Caenorhabditis elegans: one gene and its partner. The protein of the gene in region 2 purifies or fractionates together with the protein of the main gene of each other region. This does not show direct contact. Each region holds a gene or a part of one and is shown on either strand. Other genes may lie near its edges. The genes, in order: T16G12.1 and R09H10.5.

Region 1 (5,227 bases), on a different chromosome or scaffold from region 2:
ATTTGAAGAGGAACAGATTATCAATTTGTAAAAGTTATTTAAAATTTTTCTAATTTTAGATATACGCTTGTGGAGATTTACGATAAGCAGATTTCTCTGTCAGTTTTAAAATTTATTTTGAAAAATTAATGTAAAATCTTGTTGGTGTCAAATATGAGCCAACAGTCTAAAATGAAACTGAATCTAGGATTGAATCCCAAAAACTTACCAAATAAGTTGCTTGCTGTGGGTAGACAGATTTTTGTATAAAAGTCATAAAATAATCAGCGAATCCTTCATTCAAGAACAAATCATCCCACCACGCAGTTGTCACAAGATCTCCAAACCATTGATGAGCCAATTCATGACACATAACTTTAGCAGCTGCTTCCATATTTCTCGTCGTCATTGTCTAAAATCCCATTTTTCCATTTCATTTTCTACATTTTTTCAATAGAAATACCGTTGGATTATACGCAATATATTGGTATTTGTAGATTATCAATCCCCAGTTCTCCATAGCACCTGCCAAGAATTCAGGCATTCCGAGTTGGTCAGCCTTTGAGAGTGGGAATTTAATTCCAGTATACTCTCCTAATTGGTACAAGCATTCTCCAGCATTTTGAGCAGCGAACTGAAGATATTGTTCAGTTCCAGGCCATCCCCATGCTCTTGTCAAAGTGTTATGCTTATTGACATATTGAGAATTCACATAAGGCCCCACTGCAAATGCAATGAGATATGAAGACATTTTTGGTGTTTGTGGGAATGTAATTGTGCTCCATATATTACTGCAAAAAATTTAAATAAAGTCTTTAAAAATAATTGTTTGATAATCATACTCAATTTTTGTAGGTTCTGTTTCCATCATATTTGAAAGAGCAACTTGGGAAGCTGGGTATTGCACAGTGATTGTGAATTTCTGAAAGTGTCACAGAATAATTTTTCATTAATTTTAGTTGTTTTGTCTAAGATTATTCTGTAACACTTACCGCTTTGTAAGATGGTTCGTCAAGAGATGGGAAGACTTTTCTAGCGGAGAACGGTTCCATATGTGTAGCAATCATGTAGCTAAAAAGAGGTTGAGTCGAATCAAGAAATCAGTGTGAAAATATTGACTTCAGCTATCGTTTCTTGAAGTATATCAGCACTGGCTGGGCTCAGTGTTTTTTATAGACACGTAGGTGGCAGGCCCCAAAAATGTTGTTTTATGCCTACCTTGGCAATTCGACAATTATGTTGCCCAAAACATTTAACAAGTGATGAGCGATAAAAAAAGAGCTTCAAAAATTTCGGCAAATCGACTACATAATAATCAATCTGTCAAAGTACGGTACTCTTAATTAGAATTTTATTTTCCAATTTCGAGTTTTTAAAAAGCAGAGGTCGCTCCCTTAACCGATATACTCTTAATCTAACAATAAATTGTATGTTTTCTGGAGAGTTTACTTGCACAAAGTTACAGAATTTCGCCACCACTTTTCTACATTGTTTCCCCTTACTGTGTATTTCCTTGTGGATCATTATATGAAGTGTAGTAAACCCCTCCATCCGTGTATGGATTGATAATACCGGTGTAGACAAATTCGATGTTGTAAATTTGACCAGCGACCACACCATTTGCATTTGTAATCAGTGATAACTGTTGCGTAGTGTCATCTTGTGCTATAAATCTTTTCTTGTATTTTTTATCAATATACGTTCAATTCCTTACAAATTGAGTTGATTGGCACTACAGTTCCATCGATATCAACCACTTTGTAGCTTTGAATTTTAAAGTTATAGGCATTCAGAATGAATCTGTCCGATGCGACCAATGCTTCCACTTGTATCGATGCTCTTCCGTCGAATGTGAAGTTTTTCTCTGTAATACTGATGTTAACTTGCATCATTCGAAAAAGTAATAAAAAGTTTAGTACCTGGTGCATATTGAACTCCAGGGCTTGGGAAGTATGGTTGGAACCATAGACTATAGTCAATGGCATACAGATTTGGTGGGAGACGTGTTTTTGTTACATAAAGGCTTTGGCGTTTTCTGGAAATTCATTTTTCATTATTTTTTGTAATGATTATGTTTTCAGAGCACAATGAGTTCTAGAATAAAAATTTCAGAATAGTTGATAGCTGTCACATGCAAGATACGGCATCTTTACGAAACTTTTCTTATCAATTTTTGCAATAAAATTGAACATTTGAAAACAATGTTTCGAGTGATTTTTGTTCTATAACAACTTTTTTTGCCAAAACCATTTTACGTCGTAGTAAAAAAATTACGATTCCAAACTCAAATGAGGCAAAGAGTAGTGTAATTATATGTTCAATAATTTTTGCACTTTTCACCAAAATTAAAATACTGTAAATTTAAGAACTTGATTTTAAATATTTTGATTTTGAACTAAAAAAGAAATAACCTGGCTGCAAGTTTATCCTGTCTAAAATTATCTGGGTGTTCCGGCAAGATTGATGGATGATTGAATTCGACTTCTTCCAAATTTATAGTTTCAGCATGTCCCTCTGAAATGAGAAATTACTATATTGTTCCTTCTAGTCTATTTTGTAACAAGCTTAGCTTTAACGGCTCAGTGAGCCATAGTGGCAATAAAAAATGCCAAAATTCTCACATTTTCACGTTAGATTACTTTCAATTTTGGAGATCAAGTAGCTTGTTGAGTGGGACATTCTCAGCTTCACATAGAAATTCAAAATTCACAAGGGAAATTCGCACCTAGTTTAACTTTTTGTAAGCACATATAGTATCAATTTTTCAAATTATGGGGGAATGTGCAGTCTAGCGTCATTATTAAAAAGTAGACAAACCTGTGAATTCAGATTCCAAACCAACATTATTCGGTGCAGGAGCAGTGGAGATCAAGCTAAAGAGCCCAATAAAACAAAGTAAGAGAAGCAGTTTCCGCCGCATTTCGTAGTCGGCAGCACACGAAATGAAAAGAGTAGATTATACAATCCTCTCGCGATTTTATCTTTGAAATTTTGAGTTTGCTCTCCCTATTCCGGAGCACGCAGCAGCCACTGTACTTTCCTTATCGGTTTCTGGGATGTGACATCACAACGAGATGACAAACCTAATTATCAATTTTATCACTTTTGACACACTTTTAATACTAATTCCCAAAATGTCAGTTCGGGACAGAGTCCGCTAATTGGGGAATCGGTAGTGATGCTGGAGAATCTCTAGAGCATTTAATGAAGATTACAGTTTTTAAAAACAAATGTTCGCAAATACCGCAAAACCGATTTAAATCCAATTTATGGTTTATGATGTGATTTTTTGGTTCTCCTTCCAGAGTTTCTAGTAATCAAAAGATAGTAATGACTTTTAGTCTCACTGATGACTGGTTCAAGTGCTAAGTCATCAATTTTTTATAATTACTTCATGTTAAAAATTTAGTGAATGATGGAAAAATATCAGTGGGCATTTTTTTAAAAGATATTTTATAGTAGTTCAAAAACCCCATAAATGTTGTCACTTGGGCTCCGCAGAGCCCGTCCGTCCCAACTTTGCGGATATAGGCGCTTGGTCAGGTTCACCCACGAACCCACAATCACCATCCGCATGAGTCGCTCACTCTCTGTTCCATTCGTTCACTCAGAAACATTCCATTCTTTAATTAATTAAATATTATTATTTGAATTACCGCCATTTGCGTATTTCCTAATGCAAGTGCGCCCCCCCCCCCCGCACACTCGCGTTATTGCGGAGCGTCGTACTCCCGTAAATCCACACAAATATTCAGATGCCTTTTTAGGCCAACTCATTCAGTCTTCACACGTTTCACCACGGATGCCACCCGTCCCCACGTCATCCGTTTGTTCCCGTTGATAATTCCATTTATTTATTCAATAATAAACTTGGATTTATCTAAAAGTGTACTGTTATTCCCTCTGCACCGCTCATCGTCATCCGCCGTTCGTTCAAGCTCCGTGTCCTCCGCGCGAACACACATTTCGCCGTTCTCACCCGTTGGGTCTGACTCCCCAGCGACTGCGGGTGTCAACATTGGTGCATCGACCTAACCGGCTCGTGAATCACTAAGTTCCGAGCCGGAAACGGATCCAGAGTCAGGGAGGCACGTGGCGCGGCTTCCAGCGGTCAGAGGTAAGTCGATTTCTTTCAATTATCGCCTTTTCTAGGTTCATTTTCGACTATCCCATTCGAAAATGGATCTTTACAGTCATAAAAAGCTAAATTTTGACTCTATCATGCTCAAAATCTGGTTTTATTTGTCAATTTTCGAAAAAATTTCGACTCTCCCGCTCGAATTTCGAATATTTGTCGTCCTCCAATTCATTTTCGTTTTTTCACACACGAATCTGGATTTTCTACGTGTAATCTTGATTCCAATTCGATTATCACACTCGCAACTGGTATCATTAGCCTTTTATCGCTCTCAATCACGAGTTTTCCGCGTTAAAATAGCTAAAATTGGTCAAAAAATCTTGCGTAATCTTGCGTAAACTCGATTCTGAAGAGAATCTCCCCCCGGAGCATCCTTCTCTGAAGAATCTCGATGAAACTACCCATTTTTCGTCGTTTTCAGCTCAATTCCCTTTGCTTCGTCATAAAATGTGCTAAAAATTCAGTCAAAATCTGAAATCTAGGCTCAATGTCTCTGCTCGGCCCTCCCTTCCGCGTTTAGATAATTTTATGTCGACAGATGATGCAATTTCTAGGATTAGCTGAAGTCAAATTGCGATTTATCGCATTTTTGTCGTCATTTTCGTGTTCAAAGGACTTGTTTTCTCAAGAAAACCGCGTGGCGGGTCCATCCTCGTCGATTTATCTCTTTTCAGCAGAGATTTCCTCCAAAATCTTCGTTTTTGCACAAAATTTCGATAAAAATGATCTGAAAATTCAATTTTCCCTCGATATCTCCGCAAATTTATCTTTTTTCCAACGATTCCATCACAAAATCCACTGAATCACCTCTCAAAACCTTCAACAGTTGGAATTAAGATTCTTCGAGGAGTACGGTACGCAACGGTGTATGCACAGATTCTGTGTACACCGCGACGCGCAACCGCACACTCGCAATTTCGAAATCGAATCCCAAAATCTTTCGTCATGATTTTCGTCGATTTTCGAATATTTTTCGCATTTCTTTTTGCATTTTAATGATTTTTTATTAAATCTAAACATTTTCCGTCGATTTTTTACGTCTCCTCCTCCTGAGACTCGTAATTAATTCGTTTTTTCTTTCAGAAAACTACTTGCTCGACGGAAAATGTC
Region 2 (7,888 bases):
CTTGCGTGCGATTTTAAACAAAATTCAAGAAGTTTTAATATAAAAACGTGATTTTCTATAGTCATTTGACTAGTTTGATCAATTTTCCCACTGGCTTTGCAACGCCTTTACCTATTCTAATAATCCAAACTATTATTACAATTCTGAACCTTATTTTGCACCTAACGAAGTACGTTTTGTTTGCAGAGTCTGCATGAAAAGGTTCAGAGTAACAGGATTTTCTGATTTATGCACATTTTCTTTGTATCTTTGCAGAATTTTCATTTACTTATTTTTTTTAGCAAAATAGCAAAATTAAATTTACGAGCTACACTCTACTTTGTTAAAAAATTGTTTTAGGATATTTGAATAACAATCCTGGTGATATAAATTTTCCAGTAACATGTGAAAACACTTTTTCAAGCATATAATTTGTAATCTGATCAGAAAAAATATTTTCTAGACCACCGTGATATTCACGTGCACATACACCACGAAGAAAGCTTGTTTGTGTTCCATTGAATAATTATGAAATAATTCGCAAAACAATTATTGCGTGCAACCTTCTATTAGTGCATTTTGTTTGATTTAACGTGCCAGGTACTCGGGGCAGCCTTATCAAATCTATTTCCAGCAAAACTTTCATCATTTCCAGCTGACTTCATTAAAATTACCACTTCCGAAAGTTGTAAGAACTTTTGATAGGGTTTCAAAAGACTTATGTGACGCATTTTTCAATACTGGTAGATTAGGCAAAGTAGTAAAGGGGATTGGCTATTAGAGTCTTTGAGCACAGATCACAAGTAGGTTACGCACTGAGGCTACACGTGTCAAACTAGATTTAAACTCAATAAAAGGGGGTTCTTGAACAAAATTCAAATGAATTGATTTTGCTTCTACTTTTACAGTTTTTTAAATATTTGTTATCTTCTGAACAATCTCCATTTCTGATCTGTAAGATCAAAGGATTTATCTATTTTGCAAAAAAAAAATTACATATTCGCCGAACTTTGAGCTTGTATAATACAGAAAACAAAACTGTTTCCTTATGAATTTTTTGAACCATGTTAAATTAATTGACTAAAGTTCAGTAGAGAAATAAGATTATTTTTATTTTTCAGGGTGATCGAGTTTCCACAAACATCGGAGTGACAACGAGATGCTGTTCGGAAAACATGTGTAACGATGTTGGAATTGAGAAAAGGACCAAGAAAGATTCAAGTGCAGGGAAACAAAAAATTGAACATTAAATTCAATGAGCGTTTTTTAAGTTGAAAACAAAGTTCGAAAACCGTATTTCTTCTATTAGTATGGCTGTGACTAATTCTCAAAGGGGCAAACTTCAGGACTGCAATGGCAAATATCAATATTAATATCAAGATTTTCCTGTGTTTCCGATTACTACTTTTCATTTACTTACTGTTAAAATTTCAAGTAGAATCAAAAATTTCAAGATTCAAAAAAAAAGATGATAATTGCTACAAGAAATAACAATAATTCCAATTTTTATCATTCGTGAGGTGGTTTTCTGACAAAAAAAATGAAGGCAGAGAAAAATACATACAGATTGACTGAAAATCAAAAATTCCGGAATCCGGATCTTTGGCAATCCGTAAATCAAAATGCAATGTAATCAATAATGCATTTTTCAAATATCCAACTTTCGTTTTATTTCTCCAAAAAAATTTAATAATAAGAATTGAATACACATTCGATAGCGCCCCATTTAATTTATGATTGTACTTTATATTTTTGAGGACCCAAATAACCAATAAAAGTTTCAAAATGAATAAATTCATTGATAAGCTAATGGGCGAGTACAGGCTAATAAAAACTGCAGTTTCCGATAAGCGATGCATGCCATCGAGTTGCCGATTTTGACTTCAGTTCGGTCGTCAGAGACCAAACCAAAATGGCGCCTGCTACAAAGGCCATTGGATTGCTACTGGTTATTATAGGATTGGGTAATTTTTTTAATGTTTTTCAGTTTAAAAAATACCGTATTTTTCTTATTAACGTTGAATTTTCGTTTCCCCATTTGACAGCTCCTTGTTCAAATTTGGTTCTGATTTAAAAAAAAATTAAATTTATGTTGAATCGGTTCCAATGTAGAAAGTGAATTATAAAAATAAATAAATAAAGAGTTATAATAACTGTAATTTTTATCCAAGTATTCCAAACAAATTAATTTTTCATAGACAAAGTTTGTCTGAATTTCAAATTTCAAAACGCAGAAACTTATTTATTGGTTTTCAAAAAAATTTGATCACCATTTACAGCCGCTGGTGTTCAATATGAAATTCGTGGTAACATTGATCTCATCAACAGTTACGATATCCATCCGGACTATTACAATGAAAAATCATTCACGGAAAAGTTGAACAAAGTTTCGGAACGGGTGAGTGACGGTGCATTACACGAATTTATTTTTCAAAAAATTATTTTCAGTTTTCACAAGTTGTTGGACCAGATTTCAAAGAGTTTTTTGTTCATGATTACAAGTGAGTACTGGAAATATTTAAAGAAGATGTATTCTGAATGAGGGAATTGCTGAAAAGTTTAGTTGAAGAAATTTACAATTTCTTTTGATTCTATAGCATCTTTTGGAACTGGAACTTTTTTATTTTTAATTTCACCATTTCATATATCTTTATTCAAATACAAATATGAAAAATACAGAAAATTTCGAAGAAGTTGTTTTATTAATTAACTTGAAGTAGTTTATAAACTGAAACAAATTTAGTTTTTGCAATATTTTGTTCAAATATAACATTTTATTGAGAAAATTTAAAATATTAAAATAAATCTGATACATTGAAAATTTCTTTATTTACATTTTGGTCCATTTTTCACACATTTCTATACACACACAATAATAAGATAATGTTTCCACAGTTATAATTTAAAAACAAGCAACTCATTTCCCTCTACCGATCAAAAAATTTCAAAAAATCATTCATAAATCCAGAATTCACGGTCAAGACACCGCAGTCTTCCATGCTCGTCTAACACTTGTCTCATCTCTAACAGTTTCCCGACAAGACATCATTGACCAAATCGTGGCGACGGACGACGTGCAAATATATTTCTTGCGAAAAAATGGTATGGTTGAACTCTATCATTGTGCCCCGTTTGTTCATTAATCAAATTCCGCCTTTCATCAATGTTAATTTTATCTACACTTGGTGGTGGAAACTGTAAAATATGTATTCTTCAAAGCGCAAGGTCGTAAATTTTGTGTTGCGTCAGAATGTGCAGTACACTTATTATTAACACCTAACATCAATTTCAGAATTTGAAGTACAAGGGGACAGTGTTTCGAGATTCAGAGTAGTTCGTGCTGACGTGAGCAATTGCTTGCATGGAGGTATTTTATTGCCAAATGCTACCTGTTCTTGCTTACCATACTATTCTGGAGCTAACTGTGAAGTGGTGACGTATGTTTTTATATTTGAATGTTTTAAATATAAATTTTATTTTCAGTTGCCGCAACAATGGTATTGGATCAAGTGGAAGATGTTCATGTCCTCCTGGATTGTATTCTGCTCATTGTGAAGCAAGTATGCTTTCAAAATCAATTTAAAAAATCAATTTCTGAAAATCAAAGTTTTCAGGAACTTGTGTCACCAAGATTGACTCCGTCGTTGACTTCTCGTCTCAGTCACTCATTATTGCTATCAACACTAGAACATCGATGGCATACGATTTGAGCATGATCATTGAAAATATTCCAACATTGGTGACGGATTACCAAAGTCAAGGAGTCATTCTTTCGAGCTTCATCGTCACCGTCTACAGATATACAAGTTAGTTTTAAACATAGTTTTGGTTGAAAACTTCAAATCTCAGAATCCGTATACTTCATGGAAACGAGTGCCTTCACAACATCCGATGCTATGATTGATTACCTTCACAGTGTGACCATTGCTCCATCATCTGATGATCAACCTCTTCTTGACGCTATTGCTAACTCTCAATCCACGTGGGTTTTAGATATTTTCAATAACTGGAGATCTTCAATCAACTTAAATGATATAAAATAAATGTTTTCAGCCAGCCAACAATGAGACCAAAATCAACTGTTTATGTTTTTGCTGATTCTGAGAACTTATTGGATCCAACTCCCTCAACGCTTCTCAGTAGCACAAATGAAAGCATGGTCATCCAGCAGACTCTTGCCTGGAGAAATAAGGTCATTTAAAGCTACAAACTCGTATACTTTTTCCATTTCAGATTATCTTTGTTCTCTCCCAAACGACATCAAGCCCAATTGAGCCAACTGGAAACCACTTCGATGTGCTCCGCAGAGTCGCTACGGCTGCTCATGGAGACATTTTGATGATTGATAAAACGGAAATTGTCGAAGTGAGATCATTTCTTATAACTCTAGATCAAAGTTACTCAATTCTCAGGTTCTCACTCATCTTCTTTTCTACACAATTGGTGGACAGAATACATATGTGCAATACTACAATAATGTTGCCAAAAATATTCCAGTGCAGTCGGATACACCAACACAAACAACATATATTATGATGACAGTTGAGAATGGAGAATCACGTTAGTCAAAAAATGGAATCTGCAAAATTGATGTTTTTTTTTTCAGTTCCAAATATTCAAGACACCAATGGTAACACATTGAAGCCCACATCCTCTGGACGAAGATTTGCTGTGAGCCTGAGTTAAACTATCACCTATCACATAATAAAAATAGGTTTTCAGGTTTATCGTGTATTCCAAAGTTCAACCACATCAGTTACCATCACAGGAGACACAATTCCACTTCATAATACTCGTGTGTGGTTCACTTCAATGGACGATGTTCTTGTGTCATACTCTGAAGATGATACTGTTGATAACAATTATGCTCACACATTCAATGGATATTATCAACGGCCATCTCTATATTCTTCGTTTGCTACAACTACAAGTCTCTCAGTTTCAACCGCTAATTCTGTCACTTCCGGTGTGATTTCTGCTGCTGTTACAGCGACAGCAAAAGCAACATCATGCATCTTCCAGTACCAAATCGCAAATGCTACTTCGTGTACTCCAGGTCCATATGTTCATAATGTGGTTGTGTCTGCTTCCGATGGAAACAAGTACCGTGCAGTTCCAGGATATTGCTTCACGCCAGGTATGTAGTCTATTTCATTTTTCCGATCAAATACGACATTTTTAGATTCCCACATGGCCGCTCCGTGGTCATGTCTCAACAACGGAACCCGCTCCGGAATAAGCACTTGCTCATGCACAGCCAACTGGGGTGGACTTCACTGTGAAGTTCCAAAATGTGTGAATGGAGGATCACCTGACAAGTTCCCCAACGGTGGTGGTCATGGAAACTGCATTTGTCCATTTGGTGTTTCTGGAAGTTTCTGTGAAATTTGTAAGTTTTTCAGTCTTCTCTGAAATCAGATTCATACCTTCACTTTTTTAGTGACATGCAGCACCACATCCCCCGACACCTTCCAATCTTACAATCGGTCATTTGCTGTTGTTGTTCAAAACTCTTTATCTGCTAATCAAGCTCTTGTGCGGCTTAATGATGGTCTCCGTGCAATGCTCAATCAAGGACAGTCTAATGATTTTGAAGATTTTGTGCTTACGACATTCAAGGCTAGAACAGTCAACGGAGCATCATTCCCAGATGTATCGTCGTCCAAGTTCAGCTCAGCATCTGCTTTCCTTAACGCTACCAACGACATTGGAATCGGATATTCATATTCTCCAAGTGGACCTCAGCCAGGACTATTCGCCTTGGAAACTACAATGAGATCAATGGATTTTGATAAATCCTCAATTTTCTTCTTCACTGATTCTGCGTCTTCGGTGGTGGAAGCTTCGATGAACTTCTCCGATATTGTGTAAGTTAAGAGTATTAAAAAGTTGTTGTTTGTGAATTTTTATATGTATAAGAATGGTACCATATTTTTTTCCGTCAACCTAGATTTCGATTTTTATCAGTTAATATTATTTAGAATACTTTATCTTTCTTCAAATTGTTTGTAATGTCCGTATCTTCGATCAACTGAATTTCAGTCAAACCGCAGTGGAACGTCAAATTGAAATCTCTGTAGTCATCATTCCACCATATGGATCCACTGACTTCTGTACCGACATTGGAACATATGAGATTTATGAAATCCTTGCACAACAGACTGGTGGAAACTTTATCAATTTCTGTCAACCGTATACTACAAACGGAGATCCTGTGTTCAATGTACGTTTGGAAGATTTAAATGTAAAATAAATTCTCTGAAATTCAGTTCATTGCTTCGTATGGAAGCACTCATCATCACACAGAGGTTGTTGCTTACTATAATGTTATGGATTGTTCGCTTTTTGCATCCCGTTCGTTTTATATTTCAAGCGCCACAAATGATGCATATGTTGTCGTTTATTCTCGTAAGTTGATCAAAACCAATTACGATTCATGCGAAAATTTTCAGCTACGATTCAAAACTTTACTGCTTCCGTTACTAATAATGGTGTATCGCAGTCGTTGGTTGCTGATTCACATTCAGTGCCATTCTTTGCCAGTTATCAAATTAAAATCAGTGCTGGATCTTCGTTGCAATATGTCCTCCAACTTTCCTCTAATACCAAGGCACAGTGCTTTGTCAGAATCACCGAGCGCAGTCAATTCTCCGCTTACCTTGGATTCTCTCCTGATCCATCATTTGATCGTTTCAGTAGAGATCTGACTTATGCAACTCATCAACAGCCAGTCATTCATCTTTCTTCAACTCTTCAATCTGATCCATCAATTGATGTCACTAGTTATGATAACAACAATAACATTGCTTTTACTTCATTGTTCACTAAACGTACATCTGGATGCAAGTATGAATACATCATGAATCAAGAATACACTTGCCAAAGTGCTGGAGATACATTCACAATGGAAACTACCATTACGACAAATGAAGTGACAATCATGAGAACTCAAAGAGCTTACTGTAGTGATTTGATTGGATGTATCAATGGAGGAATCATGTTGGGTGGAAATTGTCAATGTGTCAATGGATACACGAGTCTTCACTGTGAAGTACCAACATGTCAAAATGGTGGTTCGGTAGTAGACTTTAAGTGTCAATGTCCTTCTATATATGATGGAGATTCTTGTCAATACACAACCTGTAACACATGGAACTTTGTAGAGACTCATGATCCAAGAGAGTATAACTTCCAGCAAATTGTTTTTGTCGTCGAAATCAACACCAAGAATATGATCCTGCCAAATTCGTATCTTTTGAAGAATATCCAAGCATTTGTGGATTCTACTGATGACGTAAATGTTCCAAAGCAATACACTCTTGTGACCTTCGATGACACTAACATCAAAGTTGTTGCATCTTCCACGCGAAAAGATGTTTTCTTGGCAGCCTTCCAAAAAGGTATCACTGTTTCAGTGAATAGTCCCACCAAAGTTAGAGGATTGGAAGCTATTAACACTGCATATGCAACACTTGTCGATCTTCCTGGAATTGTTTATGTGTTTACTGCAACCAATTCAGCAAGCAATCTCGATGCAGTCAGACAACGTTATGGTGTTCAGGTGAAATTTTGAATATATTATCCTTTTTTTGAAATTTTTGTCGCTCTAAAGATTGAAAATGAATACTTAAAACTTCTGAATTTACTTACAGGTCAACATGATTTGGATGGGAGCTGATCTCACACCTGTAAACGTAAACTATTATTATGCAGCCATTGCAAGACAATCAAATGGACGAGTCCTTCCAGTCAGCCCACTTCAAACTCAACAGGTTATTTAATCAAAAGGCTTCGTTTTTCCAAGCAAGTATTTCAGATTCTGAGCGCTCTTACTCCAACTGTCAATGAGAATCAATTGATTCTCGATGATGCCGCCAAGGATTGCAGTGCTGGAGTGAACTTCCAGTTC

The links.
Region 1: the proteins of R09H10.5 (region 2) and T16G12.1 fractionate together in Caenorhabditis elegans (co-fractionation; one large-scale study listed by BioGRID). This does not show direct contact.

The regions. Positions count from the first base shown.
Region 1 is NC_003281.10:10,046,845-10,052,071, forward strand, and holds the start of T16G12.1 (Putative aminopeptidase-2), read right to left. Parts: upstream 3,014-5,227; 5' UTR 2,900-3,013; coding exon 2,797-2,899; intron 2,494-2,796; coding exon 2,391-2,493; intron 2,015-2,390; coding exon 1,899-2,014; intron 1,844-1,898; coding exon 1,694-1,843; intron 1,645-1,693; coding exon 1,482-1,644; intron 1,051-1,481; coding exon 972-1,050; exon of another isoform or gene 902-971; coding exon 822-901; intron 771-821; coding exon 443-770; intron 392-442; coding exon 209-391; intron 1-208. Other genes in the region: T16G12.3 (Nuclear receptor corepressor 2), read left to right, coding at 5,223-5,227. UniProt on the Caenorhabditis elegans protein: Putative aminopeptidase which plays a role in oocyte maturation.
Region 2 is NC_003282.8:10,622,818-10,630,705, reverse strand, and holds the start of R09H10.5 (EGF-like domain-containing protein), read left to right. Parts: upstream 1-1,876; 5' UTR 1,877-1,891; coding exon 1,892-1,943; intron 1,944-2,258; coding exon 2,259-2,377; intron 2,378-2,427; coding exon 2,428-2,480; intron 2,481-2,947; coding exon 2,948-3,081; intron 3,082-3,271; coding exon 3,272-3,416; intron 3,417-3,462; coding exon 3,463-3,539; intron 3,540-3,593; coding exon 3,594-3,785; intron 3,786-3,828; coding exon 3,829-3,961; intron 3,962-4,032; coding exon 4,033-4,171; intron 4,172-4,212; coding exon 4,213-4,344; intron 4,345-4,391; coding exon 4,392-4,539; intron 4,540-4,585; coding exon 4,586-4,650; intron 4,651-4,701; coding exon 4,702-5,116; intron 5,117-5,161; coding exon 5,162-5,368; intron 5,369-5,419; coding exon 5,420-5,846; intron 5,847-6,021; coding exon 6,022-6,202; intron 6,203-6,248; coding exon 6,249-6,387; intron 6,388-6,431; coding exon 6,432-7,540; intron 7,541-7,631; coding exon 7,632-7,751; intron 7,752-7,795; and 1 more. Other genes in the region: F56C4.4 (Activin_recp domain-containing protein), read left to right, coding at 1,101-1,229.